Linked DNA regions of Saccharomyces cerevisiae S288C. The gene in region 1 interacts genetically with each later gene. Each region holds a gene or a part of one and is shown in the gene's direction. Other genes may lie near its edges. The genes, in order: TOF2, PTC2, YPL245W and SST2.

Region 1 (4,741 bases):
AAGTGGCCATCCATTCCACTTTCTGTTTTCTTTCTATTGAGTGGTCAGTTAATGTGCTACTTCGCTGAAAACTTCCTTGTTTTAGCATGTGGCATTCTCAGTGTACATAATGATTTATAGCTCAAAGGCTTTTAATGTTTAGGTAGTTACAGACCTTTTGCCGCCGTGAATTTTTGACGTCTTGTAGTGCTGTGATATAATTGGACTATAAATCATTACCCGGCCTTTTAAGGCATGAGTGGCGTTCCAACGTGCTGTCAAAACTATGAGACCAAAAACCAAAACACACCCCTAAGAAATGTATAGGGATTTATATCAGCATAAAGGTGCCATAATTAAAGAGATTTAGCCTGAACCCATTACTATTCTGTTACAGTTAAGTACTCATACAGACAGCTAGAAAAAGAAGAAGAAATACCAAGTACAAAGAAAGGAAACCATGTCCAAGTTAGAAACCGTTTACTTATACGCTGGTGAAGAACAACCACGTGTTAAATTGACCTGTATTAAGGAAGGTCTCACTTTAACTCAGGTTATCAAGTTCGTGCATTCTATTCAAGAATTGTACGGGATTGAGTTGCAAACTTCTGAGACCATAACAGAAAATTTGAAGATAGATTGTGCACCCGCATATTTGAAGCCGAATTGTATTCCCCATTTCTACATTCTCGAATATGAAGAAATAAGTGACACCTTTTTCATTTGGAAATCTGATGGTCGTTGGCAATTAAATAAGTTGTCTGCCTTGTTGTACGTGGATAACGACGCTAACGTGGTTAAGAACACTTCCTGGAAGGAGGTTTTCCAGAATGATCAACGATTTAAAAATTATGATAAACGGGCCTGGTTACAAAATTGTCTAGAAAAAATGAATAGAGATCTCTCAAAACTAAACGTTGAACAATTTTGGTCTCAATATGATAAAATATGTCAAAGCATTGCCAAACAAAAGAAAAAACAGGAACAGTTCAACATGGAGGTTTTCGATAACTTCAAAAATATTGTTTCTATTGCTATCATAAAGACCAAAGTTTTATCGAATAAGCGACTTTTGACAACAACTTTAAAAAATTATCATAACTCGATGAAGAAAAAGTATAACATCCAGGAACAAAATCTTAAGGAAAATAGTTTGGCATCGTGCTCAAACAATGAGCCTTCCGCATCTCTGGAAAGCGAATCAAGACATTTTTCTCCGGTAAATTCGCTGTCTCCTTCATCTTTGAGTACCGATGATGAGGCTGTCTCGACAGACTACATCTATAAAGGTCCTGAGTCTAAACCAAACGTGAATTTCATGCATTCAAGTGCTACAAACGATCTGATCAAGTCAAATTTTGAAAGCTATTTTAAATTGATGGCCGAAGACTATGAAACTTTTGACTTGAGAGCCTGGTCGAGACAAAGACCTCGAAAATTTCAGCTTGTGGAAAAAAAAAAAATCACTAAAAACCCTCCTAATAGCCATCATCCGCATAAAAATGGCAAAATATCATTTTAACTATTTCCGGGAAAACATGTCTTTTTATAGCATCTACATCCATTAAATCAAGAGAATAAAAGTAAAACTCCAAAAGTATGTACGTATATAGAACCAATTATTCAATCATTTATAGAAATGTGACCTGTTTTTTCTCTACTATTGTTACATAGGCATCACGAAAAAAAGTCGCATTATACGATACTGTTATATAATTTTTTTCATATTCTTCAGATCTCAAATGCAAGATGGTCCTAATTTGTTTGTTTGTTTATTTATTAGTTTCGCTGAAGAAGGAAAACAAGTCATTTTTGGTTAGCTACCCAATTATACAAGCATTCAATAAATACGCCAATCTTTTGCCACATTTCTTATAATATCCTTTGCCCTCCTTGGTGTTTGGTTCAAATAAGTAAATGATAAAAATGTGGAGGTTACAGATTGTACTGGTGCCGCCAAGTGCTCAAGATATTATCACATTTCTCGAAGCACGCTTGAATACTCCACAATCAGTGTCTCCTATGGTCCAGTATAATGAAGATATAATTACGCACAACAACAGTATCAATAACTGTAGCGACCCCTCTCCTACGAGCCCGTCTTCGCAAAATTCTATTCAGTCGAATCGTAGTAGTGATTTCATTAACTACCTCCCGAATTGTAAAAAGTTTTTACATTTTACGGACGGTGACAATACCCTTTTACAACTATCTAATGAAATTTTAACTAAATTTGATAGACTTTATCCAAATTTCAAAGAATCCATTGAAATCGTATCTCTACAAGATAGGCATGGTTGTGATTTGGACTCTGAATTTATAATAAAAGACGTATTTGAAAATGATGGTGTGGTTTTGGTAATTTTAAAAGATGAATTAGACTGGAGTAGAAATCAACATATTTCACTTTTACAATTGGCAAGACAGCGGAGACGGCAGGACAACAAGCCATCCACAAAATCCATCGTTACTGAAAAGAGAAAAAAGATCTCTAAGGAAGACTTATCTTCTATATCAAATAAAGATACAATGCATCTAATAGCTAAAAGCTCGCTCAAGAATAACTTCATTAATAAATCAAGAGTATCAACGCCGCTAATGAACGAAATTCTACCGCTTGCAAGCAAGTATGATGCACTGAATAAAGAAAAGTGTCCCATGCCACTTACTTCCACAGTAGTGGCATCAAATGTACACAAAGACGTAAAAGATCACGCTCGTGCTAAAGAGGGAGTTGTAACGCAAGGGAGTGATAACAATAAAGAAAATATACCTTCATCCACTCAACAACAGAAAAATGATGGCGCTAAAAGGGCCGAATCAAAGGATTTAGATCTTTTACGCAATTCGTCAGAAGATGCTGATTATGAACCCGCAGATGAAAACTCCCCTCAAATTTCGTTTGATTCGATTGATACCGACTTCCAATTGAGCACTACTTCTCATACTAATTCTGATATGCATATACAATATTCTAACCCCTCTAGTGGTGCTCATAGTCCCAGGAAGAGTTCCTTAGAAATTAAAGTTCAAAACAAAAAAGGTGATGATCTGCCATTGAACGACAAAGATATAGGTGAGAATTGTAGAAGGATAGAAGCATTTTCAGATGAAGAGGATTTTAATGAAACCGATAATGATCGTGCGGATTCGTTTATCAACAATTCTAAGAAGGCATCGATGGGATTTCGGGATATCAATTCCGACTTGGATAGCGTTTCATTCAACAGTGATATTGAAAATGCAGTACAAAGTACTCAAAGTACCAAAAATGTTGTTTCTCCTCCCTTTTTTCCTGAAAAAGAATTGAATAATCGGTTACATCAAAGTCAAGGTAAGGAAGCCCTATTTCGACTTGTTGAGAAGGAGTTTCCTGATAAATCATTGGGTGCTGCGTCATCTACTTCGCATGCAAAAGACGTAAAAATACAAGAAACTATTCGGAAACTAAATAGGTTCAAGCCAACTGGGGAAACTAAGGTCCAAAAAAGGAATAGTATTACGGAACCATATTACGGAAAATTTGGAATAATGAAGAAAGATAAACCCAAATCCATAACTTCAAAAGGGGTAAGTCTGGAAACAAAGCACTTTGATGATCCCAATACCATTATTTCCGGTGAGAAATTCGCAAAATTTGGTAAAATAAAAGTGAAACGAAAAACTGATGATGTTGGATCGAAAGTTATAGAGTTTAAAAGAAAAAGAAATATGGGGAATAGATCCCTAAAAGATATTTTTGCCAATGCTGGGAAACCGCCAAATGCAGCTTCGACCATAAAAGTAGTCAAATTAATGAGAGATCCTGTTGATAATAGTAAAGACAAAGTGGAGGCAACTTCTAATAGTACGGCTCAGGAACAAGAACAAGTCTCACCCAAGTTGCCAGTTATGAATTCAACTCCTGGAAAAAGAAAAAATGGCCAAGCGATACCGTCCAGTTTAGAAAGAACACCGCAGCTCAAGAAAGTCAAGGTTACCAGGTCGCATTCTTCACCTTCTTCTTCTTCTTCCATGTCACTTGAATCTTCATTGGATAGCTCTTCCTCAGATGATTCGGATGATGATTCTGATTCGAGGAACGTGCAAGTTAAAAAAATTAATTTCAAAACAAGTCATGGACCAGCTGGAAATTCTAATGGAAAACCAATGCTGGATGTGGATGACAATGAAATAAATACAAAGAAGTACCAAACACCTAAATATGTTGAAAGTGATGAAGACGACCAGTAAGTCTGTCAGTAATTATGTTGGGATCTCTCAACCATATCTTAAATATTCTTGGCGAATTGTAGTAATTTTTTAGACTGGTTAATGATATCATAATTAAATCTTCAAAAGCAACCAACAAAAGAGAACTAATAGCGTACGGTATGCATCAATTATATATGATTATAACGGACTTTTATTCATGGACGTTTATATCATTCTGGATTATTCGTCATTATTGTTCATTGTTGAACACAATATAAAAAAATATAAAATATGGTTGCTAAGAGATTCGAACTCTTGCATCTTACGATACCTGAGTATTCCCACAGTTAACTGCGGTCAAGATATTTCTTGAATCAGGCGCCTTAGACCGCTCGGCCAAACAACCACTTATTTGTTGAAAATTTTAGAATTCAAGTATACCCAGTCATGTATTAAGTTAATCTTTATGTCATCTTTCTAAACTTTATATGTGTTGGAATAAAAATCCACTATCGTCTATCAACTAATAGTTATATTATCAATATATTATCATATACGGTGTTAAGAT
Region 2 (3,847 bases), on another chromosome or scaffold:
TGACCTACGGCGCCTGCATAAACCCCACGCCTTTCTCCTTCTAGTTCGGCAATCAATTCCATGGCTCTAACCTTTGGAGCACCACTGACAGTACCTGCAGGGAAAATCGATCTGAATGCATCAAATCTTGTCTTTTCTGGGCGGAGAACACCGCTGACTTGAGAAACCAGATGTTGGACATGAGAAAATTTTTGAATAGTTAACAGTTTATCGACACTTGTTGTTAATGGGTCACAAATTCTGTTAATATCGTTTCTTGCTAAATCTACCAGCATAACATGTTCTGCACGGTCTTTTAACGAGCCACGTAATTGGTCCGCTAAAGCATCATCCTCTTCAGTAGTAGCCCCACGTTTGACAGTACCAGCAATTGGATGGGTAATGACTCTATTTTTGGAATCCGATTTGCACAACAATTCTGGAGATGCACCAATGATTTGGAAATCCAAACAATCAATATAAAACAGGTAAGGAGATGGGTTCACTGTACGTAAATGTCTGTAAATATTGAAAGGATGTAACGAAGTTGGCCTTGCCACTCTTTGCGATGGCACACCTTGAATAATATCACCTTTCTTAATATGCTTCTTCAAAGTGGAGACGTGATTTTCGTAACCTTCCTTGCCCACATTCGATTCAAAAGTTTGATTCAATTTAATAGGAGGTTGTTCTGGATATGGTATTGGCGAGGAATCGTCGGTTAGCTTTGATACGATATCAGTGATTATTTGTGCTGCAGCTTGGTAACCTTCCTCCAACGAAGTTTCATTGGTATTAATGTTATGAATGATTTGAAATCTCTGAAAAACATTATCAAAGGCAATAATGGTATCACAAAGCATTAAATATGCCTCTGGAAGTCTTAGGACATCTTTCAAAGGCCTTCTTGTTTTTGGCTCGAAATAACGAACACAGTCATAAGAAATATAACCAATAGCACCACCACTTAATTTCGGTAAACCAGGAACATTTTCGGCTACTTTAAAGGTAGACATCTCCTTTTCCAAAATTTCCAAAGGATCTGTTTCAATGCCTTCAGTAGGACCGGTTTTGATGGTCTTGCGTGGCGAGATACCTATGAATGAATAACGATCTAATTCATTATTTGTCTTAGCACTTTCCAACAGAAATGATTCCTTTCTATCAGGGTTGTTCAATTGTGCCAATTTTAGATATGCCACGTGAGGAGTCAGATCCAATGATGGCAAATACGCATACACGGGATACATATTTATGGAACTATCGTCATTTTGCTGCTGTAATTGCTTTAGAGAGTCAATATCCGGTTGAATTTTGATGGAAGCGGTCATTTTTTGCCTTTTTTCCAATCAGAATATCAGTGCTAATTATCGATTGTGGCCTCGGTTTTAAAGTGATGATTGCCTTCTGCTACGATGGACCATAGCCCTTTAGTCATGTTAATATATCAAAATCTAACAATACTTCGATGAGTGAAAAATCGTAATGAGTCAGCAAATCACTGTGTACGTTAATGCCTTTAACAACTTTTTTTTTCCCACAAACTACTTCAACGATTGAAAGGATTATTCTAAAAAAAAAAATATCATGCTGATAAATGGAAGGGGATGGTAAAACAAAGAAAACCAGCCAATTCGGATTCTGACAGAGCAAATTGAAACTGGATATTATAGTGCTAAGTATATAGACTTCTGTTTTGTTCTTTAAAACTAAATAAAAAAAATTCACCCTCCTCCCCACGGAATAAAACTACAACAAGTTCTGTTATCAAGGACAATTAGTGTATATTAGTTGTTGTAACATTTTTTACTTTCTCTTTTTTTTTTTCATTGATTAATTATAACTATTCGTTCGAGATAGTAGTTTTCCGATTAATAACATCCCTAGGATTTTGACTATTCCATTGTTGTATAAAATATAGAGAACCAGAAAAAGAAAAATGGGACAAATTCTATCAAACCCGGTAATTGATAAAGAGAGCCACTCCGGTGCTGACTCCTTGACCGCGTTTGGACTGTGTGCAATGCAAGGGTGGCGGATGTCAATGGAGGATTCACACATTCTAGAGCCTAATGTTTTGACAAAGTCCGATAAGGACCATATTGCATTTTACGGTATATTCGATGGTCATGGTGGCGCTAAAGTAGCAGAATACTGTGGTAATAAAATAGTGGAGATCCTGCAAGAGCAGAAATCGTTCCATGAAGGAAATTTACCAAGGGCTTTGATTGATACTTTCATAAACACAGACGTGAAACTGTTACAAGATCCTGTGATGAAAGAAGACCATAGCGGATGTACGGCTACATCCATATTAGTATCAAAGTCCCAGAACTTGTTAGTATGTGGTAACGCTGGTGACAGTAGAACCGTACTCGCCACCGACGGGAACGCAAAGGCATTATCATACGATCACAAGCCCACTCTAGCAAGCGAAAAATCACGTATTGTGGCAGCTGATGGCTTCGTAGAAATGGATAGGGTCAACGGTAACTTGGCGCTCTCTCGTGCCATTGGTGATTTTGAGTTCAAATCCAACCCCAAATTGGGCCCCGAGGAGCAAATAGTGACATGTGTTCCGGACATTCTCGAGCATTCTCTAGATTACGATAGGGACGAGTTTGTAATCTTAGCCTGTGATGGTATCTGGGATTGTTTGACTTCCCAAGATTGTGTGGACTTGGTTCATCTCGGCCTTCGCGAAGGCAAGACATTGAATGAAATTTCTTCGCGGATCATCGATGTCTGTTGTGCTCCCACCACAGAGGGGACGGGTATTGGATGCGACAACATGAGTATAGTGGTTGTCGCGCTGCTGAAAGAAGGTGAAGACGTCGCTCAATGGAGCGACCGTATGAAGTCCAAGGCCCACCGCACATCAGTGCGTTCTTTTGCAGACAAGAGAAGAAGGGTGTTTAGTTACTACGATTTTTCCAAATGTAACGACGAACAGGTGTTCGCTATCACTACGAAGAAACCTCAGGACAAATTCACTCGCGACCACGAAGCCGCTGTGGCCTCGGTGACTGCCGCCGATAACGACGATCCAATGGACATAGACGACACGGACGCTGACACAGATGCAGAAAATCTTGACCCTTCCAGCCAATCCAAGAGCAAGACCTCCGGCCCCATTGATCTAGCATCCTTGGAGGCGCTACTTGGTGCTACAGGAGGAGTGAAGACAGACAGCAACGGGAACAAAGTCACCTACACTCTTCCCCAGTCTGCCTTGGCCCAACTGCTCCAAACCATGGGCCATGACCCGGCTTCCTCCCATCCCGAGAATGACAGTAACACTGACCACAAGGCCGGCCGTTCCCACTTGCAATGAAGGATCTTCCATCCTTCATTATATATACATACCTATATACGAACCGAACGAACAGAAAGAGAAGAGAAGACGCAAGACACCACCAGAACCAAGAGCATACACCACTACCACCACCATCGCTACCAACAGCAGGATATCCGGATGCAGTTTGACGCTTGAAGATGGTATTCACCTCAGGGGTAAACGCGCAGAAACTGCGCGTTTACCTGCAGCGACGCCACAAAAACGGACCGGCCCGGCCAGAGGGTGAGACCAGCAGCGGCCCCGTTGTGAAATCTCACCCCCAGTCCCGGATGGGCACGAGTCCCCAGCGCCCGTCCCATGAGGTCCTCCTAAGGTAGACAGCGCGGATGTTTCCGATGCAAAGGAGAAAGGATGGACGGTACAGACATCGTAGACAGGATTCGCGCATTGCCTTGCACATCTGTGCCCCATCCAATCTACCGTATCTATTGTTATCGTCGTGTGTGCTACTCTTTTCTCCGACAGCCTCGACAAGACGGAATCAGAAAGTGCACACAGTTTAAAAAGGAA
Region 3 (3,755 bases), on another chromosome or scaffold:
AACCCAAGCAGACGTAGTCGTCGGCGCTCCAATCGAGCCCAAAGAGTGGATAGTGTGATTGATATTCGCACACGGAGGCCATGGAAGGGTTCATCAGATTGCTTACAACCGGAATATTTGCAGCATAGCCCCTCGCCTGCTGTAACTGAGAATGATTTGGTGAAAAAACTGGTGGCGAGAAATCTAACGGTGAATACATCGGCGATCGACTTGCATAGTACGTGGCACTTAGGTCACAGCCACTATTCCTTTTGCTGTTACCGCCATTGGTAGTGTTGCCAGACATTCCAAAGGGAGATGGGCCTCTACCTTGATCTTGTGCCGCCGAGGAAGGCCCATTAGTACCACTCAAGTAATTGTTCTTGTTATATGGCTGCCGCTGCGATGAGCCAAACGATATTGAGCTCCTTTTATTGCCATTGTGAAAGGGATCCATTTGAAGGGCGTGTATTTGCTCCTATAATTCCTTTCCTTCTTGTTGTCTGTTGACCCTTTAGGTTGTATGCCACTCTCGAAAACCTAAAGAACTGATTACTAAATTATTTATACAAGATTTCAGATGACAAGATGGTTCACCCCTTGCCCCTGGTCTTCCTCCCAGTAATTATTCATATTCCATTTTTTTTCATAAACGCACGCTAAGGAAAAAGAAGAGACTGAAAATTCTTGCATATTAGAATATAAAATGATATATACTACATTTATATACATCCTTAAACTGTGAAAGAAAGAATAGCGATACAAATGTCTAGGCAGTCCCTAGGACAGTGCCGGAGTTGTCATTGTGGAGAGGCAATGGTGTTTCTGTGGACATTAACGGTTCGTAATCTTTAGTTCTGTCGATATCCTCATCTCTGTAATACTTAATTCCCCAAGGTATTAATCGAATTAAACCGTCTAAACTTTTTTCGATTTTGGTGATGATCCATCCTGGTGGAGTGATCTTGTTAAACCACGATTCCTTGTAGCCTATGGCGTAACCGACACATAAGCCGAAAAAATGACCCCAGAAACTGGAGCCAGGTATAACGACGGCAATTGCGACTAATAGTACTAGGGGTGTATATAATGTCGGAATTGAGTAGTCTGTGCGAAAGATCCTTGTTCTAGGGCGGATCTGTGATTCTTTAAAACTATAGTATGCGAATAAGGTGAAACACCACCCACTGGCGCCTGCAACTAATGCTTCTGGATATAGCAACTTACCCAACAAACAGTACAGAATTCCGGCAAATAGAGCACTCAGGTTCAAAAAAACACCTGTGTACACAGTCCCATGCGTTTCTTCGAAGAGATTCAAGGGTGCCCAGATGGCTAGCACATTGAACAGTAAATGAGGCAATGATAGGTGAATTAAAGGATAAAGCGATAGCCTGCTCATTTGCAGTTTGAACAATGACTCTGGCGCCAACGACAGGTCTTCCCTTAGGGCAAAAATAAAACTTAACAGGTAAATAGCGGTTAGAAATACCACAAGGCCTGTGGTCAACGCAGCTGGTGGATGACCACCGGGAAAAACGTACGACTTCCAATTCATAGCACGACCAAATAGCACAACCTAACAACCAGAGTGAATTGCTGTTCTCAGTGCTTCCAATTAAGCCTTTCCCATCCCCCTATTCTTCTTGTATCGATGCAGTTCAAAAAAAAAAAAAAAAAGAGGCTTTAGATCTCAAAGGGCCGAAAAAAGTGAAAAATTTTCTCGAGAAATCATAAAAGCAGCCATCGCCATATATAAACAATCTATGCATATGTATGCAGCATGGCATCGCATCTTTCTTGGCGACCCGGTAGTAGCATTTAACTTCCATTAGAACCATATAAAATGCATGGGCCTACTTCAAAAGCTATTTCCCGCAATGTGAGAAGCGTGAAGAGACCAAGAAGAGCACCTAGGCCCGTGGTCTCCACGCAGGCTATGAACAAGTTGTCTAACGTAACACTCTCTGCTGAACAAGAAAAGTTGAGAGAGCGCGTTTTGTCGTTCATGCGTTCCAACTTATCTCAGTACAAGTCTGACTGGAAACATCCGGCCATGTTTGTAATCCAAGGGGACGCAGGTACAGGCAAGTCTGTGATTCTAAACTCCTTGTTCAATGAAATTCAGAAACTATCCCAGTTCTCACCTTCTTCTGAAGATATCTTACATGGGACACATAATTATCTGGTAGTCAACCATCCCGAGATGTTAAAGTTATATATCCGGATTAGTGACAGTTTCAAATATATTTCTAAATCGTCACTAGAACGGCCCACTTCGTTGATCAACAATCTACAGAAGAGAAAAGTCATGGCCGATGTAGTCATTGTAGATGAAGCACATTTGTTGGCCACTTCTAAGGATGCTTTCAAAAGATTTTATGGCGAAAACCATCTCAAAGACTTAATGTCCCTTTGTAAAGTGCTTGTATTGGTTTACGATGATAAGCAAGCTTTAAGAATGGGTTCCTATTGGGATGAAGGTTCTAATAACGGTGCCACTTTAAAGGACTTTTACAACGAGATTCCACCAAAATCCAGAGACTGGTACACTTTAAAACAGCAGTTTAGGGTTGCTGCCCCACAAAACGTGTTGAACTGGATTGACCAAATTAGTGTCGCAGGTAAAATCCCACCAATTGAATCTGTGCTATCTAAGGGCAATGCAGATTGTGCTGACGATAAAATTAAGAATTTTGATTTCAAAATTTGGGATGATTGTGGCGCCATGTACGAGGCAATCAAGGAGAAAGACCGTCAATACGGCCAATGTAGGATGCTATCTACTTACGATTTTCCCTATCGCTTGGACGGAAAAGACTATTACGTTGAATGTGGTGACAATTTCAAAGTTCGCTGGGATCGCTATACTCCACGTGAAGTGACGCCTTGGAGTGAGCGTTGCGACACGATTGATGAGGTAGGTAGTGTGTATACTATCCAAGGGTTTGATCTGAATTATGCTGGTGTAATTTTGGGCCGTTCCATTGGGTATGATGCGGCTAATGACTGCATCAAACTAAGACCAGAGCTGTATGACGATAGGGCCGGTTTCACCAAAAAGAAAAACATTCACAATGCAGAGGACGTTAAGCAAAAGATTATTATGAATAGCATTAATGTCCTCTTAACTCGTGGCGTGCGTGGTCTGTATGTTTATGCATACGATCCTGAATTAAGAGAGAGACTGCTTCGTCCATCAAAAAAATAGGAAGTACATAGTATAGACAAATTTTATAAATATTAACTTTTATTTGTTGCGATCTTCACTAATCTACGCAGATTTTGCCTTCGGTATATTAGCCTTCTTCTTGTTGAGTGCTTCCCAAGTGATTCCACCAAATACTATAAACATCCCCACCCATTGCTGGAAACGTACACTCTTACCGAAGACAATAATACTCAAAATCATCGAGACCATTTTCCTGGTGACTGTTATCATGATCAAAACTAAAGAGCCAAATTGTTCTAGAGTATAGAAAATAAAGCATTGTCCCATAGCGCCACAGAACGAATAAAGCATTAAATAGCCCCACACTTGTGGGTCCATCGTCAATACAGAAACGGCATTATCCCATTGTTTGCAGTCGATCACAATAAAATACAAAATATTCCACAATATCACGAAGAGGTTCAGTGTAAACATCAAGTGTGCACCTGTTATCAAAGTTTGTTTTCCCTTTTCTTTGGCCTTATTGGCCTTTAGTAGCTTATCTTGGGTGGCGTTGGTCAATCCATCAAGGAATAAACTAGAGAAAAGTAGTCCAAACCCTTGT
Region 4 (4,481 bases), on another chromosome or scaffold:
AGGTCAAAGGGCAACCCGGCTTAGTTATCTTGAAAGTTATTATTTTAGTTTTCTAATTTTGCAGCTGTTTTCAATGAAGAAAACATTGCGCTTACAGATATGTACAGAAGGGATCTTCTTAACCATCAATTTCAATAAGTTAGAACAATATATGTACGAATATAGATATAAATACGAACGTGGTTAGTATATAGAGACAATGGAGCATGTAGATTCCGATTTTGCACCTATAAGGAGATCGAAAAAGGTTGTTGACAGTGACAAGATTGTGAAAGCAATAAGCGATGATTTGGAGCAAAAAAATTTTACTGTACTGAGAAAGTTGAACCTTGTTCCAATTAAAAAAAGTGTTAGCAGCCCAAAGGTGTGTAAGCCGAGTCCAGTTAAGGAGCGAGTGGACCATGTTTTCTACCAGAAGTTCAAATCAATGGCCTTGCAAGAGCTAGGCACCAATTATTTGTCAATAAGCTACGTTCCGAGCTTAAGTAAGTTTCTTTCAAAAAATCTTAGGAGTATGAAAAATTGTATCGTTTTCTTCGACAAAGTTGAACATATACACCAATATGCTGGTATCGACCGTGCAGTTTCAGAAACACTGTCTTTAGTCGATATAAATGTCGTAATTATAGAAATGAATGACTACTTAATGAAAGAGGGTATTCAATCAAGCAAATCAAAAGAATGTATCGAGTCAATGGGGCAGGCTTCATATAGCGGACAACTAGATTTCGAAGCTAGTGAAAAACCTTCAAATCACACGTCTGACCTAATGATGATGGTTATGAGGAAAATAAATAATGACGAAAGTATCGATCATATTGTCTACTTCAAATTCGAACAATTAGATAAATTATCTACTTCAACTATAATAGAACCTTCGAAGCTTACCGAATTTATCAATGTTTTATCGGTACTTGAAAAAAGTAATAACATTGCATTTAAGGTCCTCATTTATTCAAATAACGTTAGCATTTCGTCTCTCCTATCGACATCCCTCAAAAAGAAACTCAACACAAAATATACTGTGTTTGAGATGCCGATATTAACATGCGCTCAAGAACAAGAATATTTGAAAAAAATGATAAAGTTTACCTTTGATTCCGGAAGCAAGTTATTACAGTCTTACAACTCGCTTGTCACATGCCAGTTGAATAATAAAGAATCCAACTTAGCAATCTTTTTCGAATTTTTGAAGGTCTTTCCGCACCCTTTTACCTATTTGTTTAACGCTTACACTGAGATTATAGTCCAGAGTAGAACTTTTGATGAATTGTTGGATAAGATCAGAAACAGACTGACAATAAAAAATTACCCACATAGTGCTTATAACTTTAAGAAAAACCAGCGTCTTCCACTTAAGTTAACTCGAAAAGTACATGATAGATAAATTACCAAGGTCTTTTGAAAGAGTTCGAACAATACAAAGAGATGGCAACTCCTTTGGAAAAGTTCAAGTTGAACCACCTCCGTTGTCTCTATTAATGAAGAAGCCATGAAGTATGCGAAGTTTTAACTGAATCATCTTCAATAATTATGGGATGTCTGGGTTTTAAACGTTTCATAATATTCAATTTTGAAACAATGATCCCAATACTGCTTTTTTTTTGACTAGGACTTGGATTTGGTTGCTGGTGCGTTAGAATTGTTGTCTGTCCTGTTATATTTATACCGGTGAATGAAATCATAATCCCAGCTCTGTCTTTACTTCTCATCGTCCTTTAACTTTGGAGGTGTTACTGTCGTACGTTCCTTCTAGGTTTTGCACGCACTATCTGAGGCGTTATAGGTTCAATTTGGTAATTAAAGATAGAGTTGTAAGATGGTGGATAAAAATAGGACGTTGCATGAATTATCTTCCAAAAATTTCAGCAGAACGCCGAATGGACTGATCTTTACCAATGATTTAAAGACAGTATATTCCATTTTTCTAATTTGTTTGGATTTGAAAGAGAAAAAACATAGTAGTGACACTAAGTCTTTCTTATTAACTGCATTCACTAAACATTTCCACTTCACTTTTACATATCAGGAAGCTATTAAAGCAATGGGACAATTGGAACTAAAAGTGGATATGAACACAACTTGTATTAACGTTTCATATAATATTAAACCTAGTTTGGCGCGCCACCTTCTTACATTATTTATGTCTTCTAAGCTACTACATACACCGCAGGACAGAACTCGTGGCGAGCCAAAAGAGAAAGTTCTTTTCCAACCAACACCTAAGGGAGTTGCTGTTTTACAAAAGTATGTTAGAGATATTGGGTTGAAAACAATGCCTGATATTCTTTTGTCATCGTTTAACTCCATGAAACTTTTCACTTTTGAGAGAAGCTCTGTCACGGATTCAATCATCCATAGTGATTATTTGATCCATATTCTTTTCATTAAAATGATGGGCGCTAAGCCAAATGTTTGGTCTCCAACAAACGCAGATGACCCATTACCTTGCCTATCTTCGTTGTTGGAATACACTAATAATGATGATACATTTACTTTTGAGAAATCTAAGCCAGAACAAGGATGGCAAGCTCAGATTGGAAACATCGATATAAATGACTTAGAAAGGGTATCGCCATTAGCTCATCGATTCTTTACAAATCCAGATTCTGAGTCGCACACGCAATACTACGTTTCGAATGCAGGTATTAGGTTGTTTGAAAATAAGACGTTTGGCACTTCCAAAAAAATCGTGATTAAGTACACCTTTACAACAAAGGCTATATGGCAGTGGATAATGGACTGTACTGATATTATGCATGTTAAAGAAGCGGTCTCGTTGGCAGCGTTATTTTTAAAAACGGGGTTGATTGTACCAGTTCTTTTACAACCATCACGCACTGACAAGAAAAAGTTTCAAATTAGCAGGTCCTCTTTTTTTACCTTGTCCAAGCGTGGTTGGGATTTGGTTTCTTGGACAGGTTGTAAGAGCAATAATATTAGAGCACCAAATGGTAGCACCATAGACCTAGATTTCACATTAAGGGGTCATATGACTGTTCGTGATGAAAAAAAGACATTGGATGATAGTGAAGGTTTTTCTCAAGACATGCTTATCTCTTCGAGTAATTTAAATAAACTGGACTATGTGCTAACTGATCCAGGTATGAGATATTTATTCAGGCGCCATTTAGAAAAGGAACTTTGTGTAGAAAATTTGGATGTCTTCATTGAGATTAAGAGGTTTTTGAAGAAAATGACAATTCTGAAAAAATTGATAGATTCTAAGCATTGTGATAAAAAATCTAATACCAGTACTTCAAAAAACAATATCGTAAAAACGATTGATTCAGCTTTAATGAAACAGGCCAATGAGTGCCTTGAAATGGCATATCACATTTATTCGTCCTATATCATGATAGGATCACCATATCAATTAAATATCCATCATAACTTGCGTCAGAATATTTCTGACATCATGTTGCACCCTCATTCTCCATTATCGGAACACTTTCCTACTAATCTATACGATCCATCACCTGCATCCGCGGAATCAGCAGCTTCATCAATTAGCTCAACGGAGGCTGACACGTTAGGTGAACCACCTGAAGTGAGTCTAAAACCTTCAAAAAATCTTTCAAATGAAAACTGTTCATTTAAGAAGCAAGGATTCAAACATCAGTTAAAGGAATATAAACCTGCCCCGTTAACTCTGGCAGAAACGCATTCGCCTAATGCATCAGTAGAAAATTCACATACAATTGTTCGTTATGGCATGGACAACACCCAAAATGATACCAAATCGGTTGAATCATTTCCAGCAACTTTGAAGGTCCTCAGGAAATTATATCCCCTCTTCGAGATCGTTAGCAATGAAATGTATAGACTGATGAATAACGATTCCTTTCAAAAATTTACCCAGTCAGACGTATACAAAGATGCTAGCGCTTTAATAGAAATCCAAGAAAAGTGCTAATTTCATTGAGAGTCTTACTCATCTTCAGGTACAATTGCACAAACAGTCCTTTTTTTTTTCTTTAGTTCTCCTAACCTAATATGTCTTGATACCCATAAGGACTGTAAATACTATTACGTATAAATTAAGCGGAGGTGTGATTTGTTATATCAACTATAATATGATTAAATAAAGCCATTTATTATCTAGTATAATTTCCAATCCTGAGATGTGACTAACGTGAGCGCTTACGAATCTTCGCATCATACACCTGTGGCCAAGGCTGGTTGGCGGTTTAAGTCCGTCTGAAAACTTTTTTTTACGTCATTTGAAGATCAAAAGTATTGAACATATACCTAATGACACAGTTTTTTACACTTTTTTTGAGTTAAATTATTCAAGGACAAAAAATAGTGTGCGTAAATGGAAGAAATATAAACGTATATAGAAAATCATTTACCTCTCCTGTAGCACCGCAGTCATTACATAACATTTTTTCGAGGGTAAGTAAACATTACGCAAAAAAAGAAAAGGACTTTAAACCTTGGGATTGAACGCAAATTCATTCATTAAAATATCAACATCC

What was found.
Region 2: mutations in TOF2 (region 1) and PTC2 together harm fitness more than expected from each alone (negative genetic interaction), as found in Saccharomyces cerevisiae (2 studies listed by BioGRID).
Region 3: mutations in TOF2 (region 1) and YPL245W together harm fitness more than expected from each alone (negative genetic interaction), as found in Saccharomyces cerevisiae (2 studies listed by BioGRID).
Region 4: mutations in TOF2 (region 1) and SST2 together harm fitness more than expected from each alone (negative genetic interaction), as found in Saccharomyces cerevisiae (2 studies listed by BioGRID).

The regions. Positions count from the first base shown.
Region 1 is NC_001143.9:458,395-463,135, reverse strand, and holds TOF2 (Tof2p), read left to right. Parts: upstream 1-1,896; coding exon 1,897-4,212; downstream 4,213-4,741. Other genes in the region: chromatin-associated RNAPIII regulator FPT1, read left to right, coding at 440-1,501.
Region 2 is NC_001137.3:335,412-339,258, reverse strand, and holds PTC2 (type 2C protein phosphatase PTC2), read left to right. Parts: upstream 1-1,918; coding exon 1,919-3,313; downstream 3,314-3,847. Other genes in the region: anthranilate synthase TRP2, read right to left, coding at 1-1,310. UniProt on the Saccharomyces cerevisiae protein: Dephosphorylating regulator for many key proteins. Dephosphorylates the cell cycle master regulator CDC28/cyclin-dependent kinase 1; its activity appears redundant with phosphatase PTC3.
Region 3 is NC_001148.4:83,761-87,515, forward strand, and holds YPL245W (uncharacterized protein), read left to right. Parts: upstream 1-1,825; coding exon 1,826-3,190; downstream 3,191-3,755. Other genes in the region: YPL247C (uncharacterized protein), read right to left, coding at 1-436; putative rhomboid protease RBD2, read right to left, coding at 749-1,537; UDP-galactose transporter HUT1, read right to left, coding at 3,254-3,755.
Region 4 is NC_001144.5:1,038,705-1,043,185, reverse strand, and holds SST2 (GTPase-activating protein SST2), read left to right. Parts: upstream 1-1,819; coding exon 1,820-3,916; downstream 3,917-4,481. Other genes in the region: RIF2 (Rif2p), read left to right, coding at 200-1,387; leucine-responsive transcriptional regulator LEU3, read right to left, coding at 4,433-4,481. UniProt on the Saccharomyces cerevisiae protein: Desensitization to alpha-factor pheromone. Is involved in regulating the signaling pathway for responding to mating pheromone.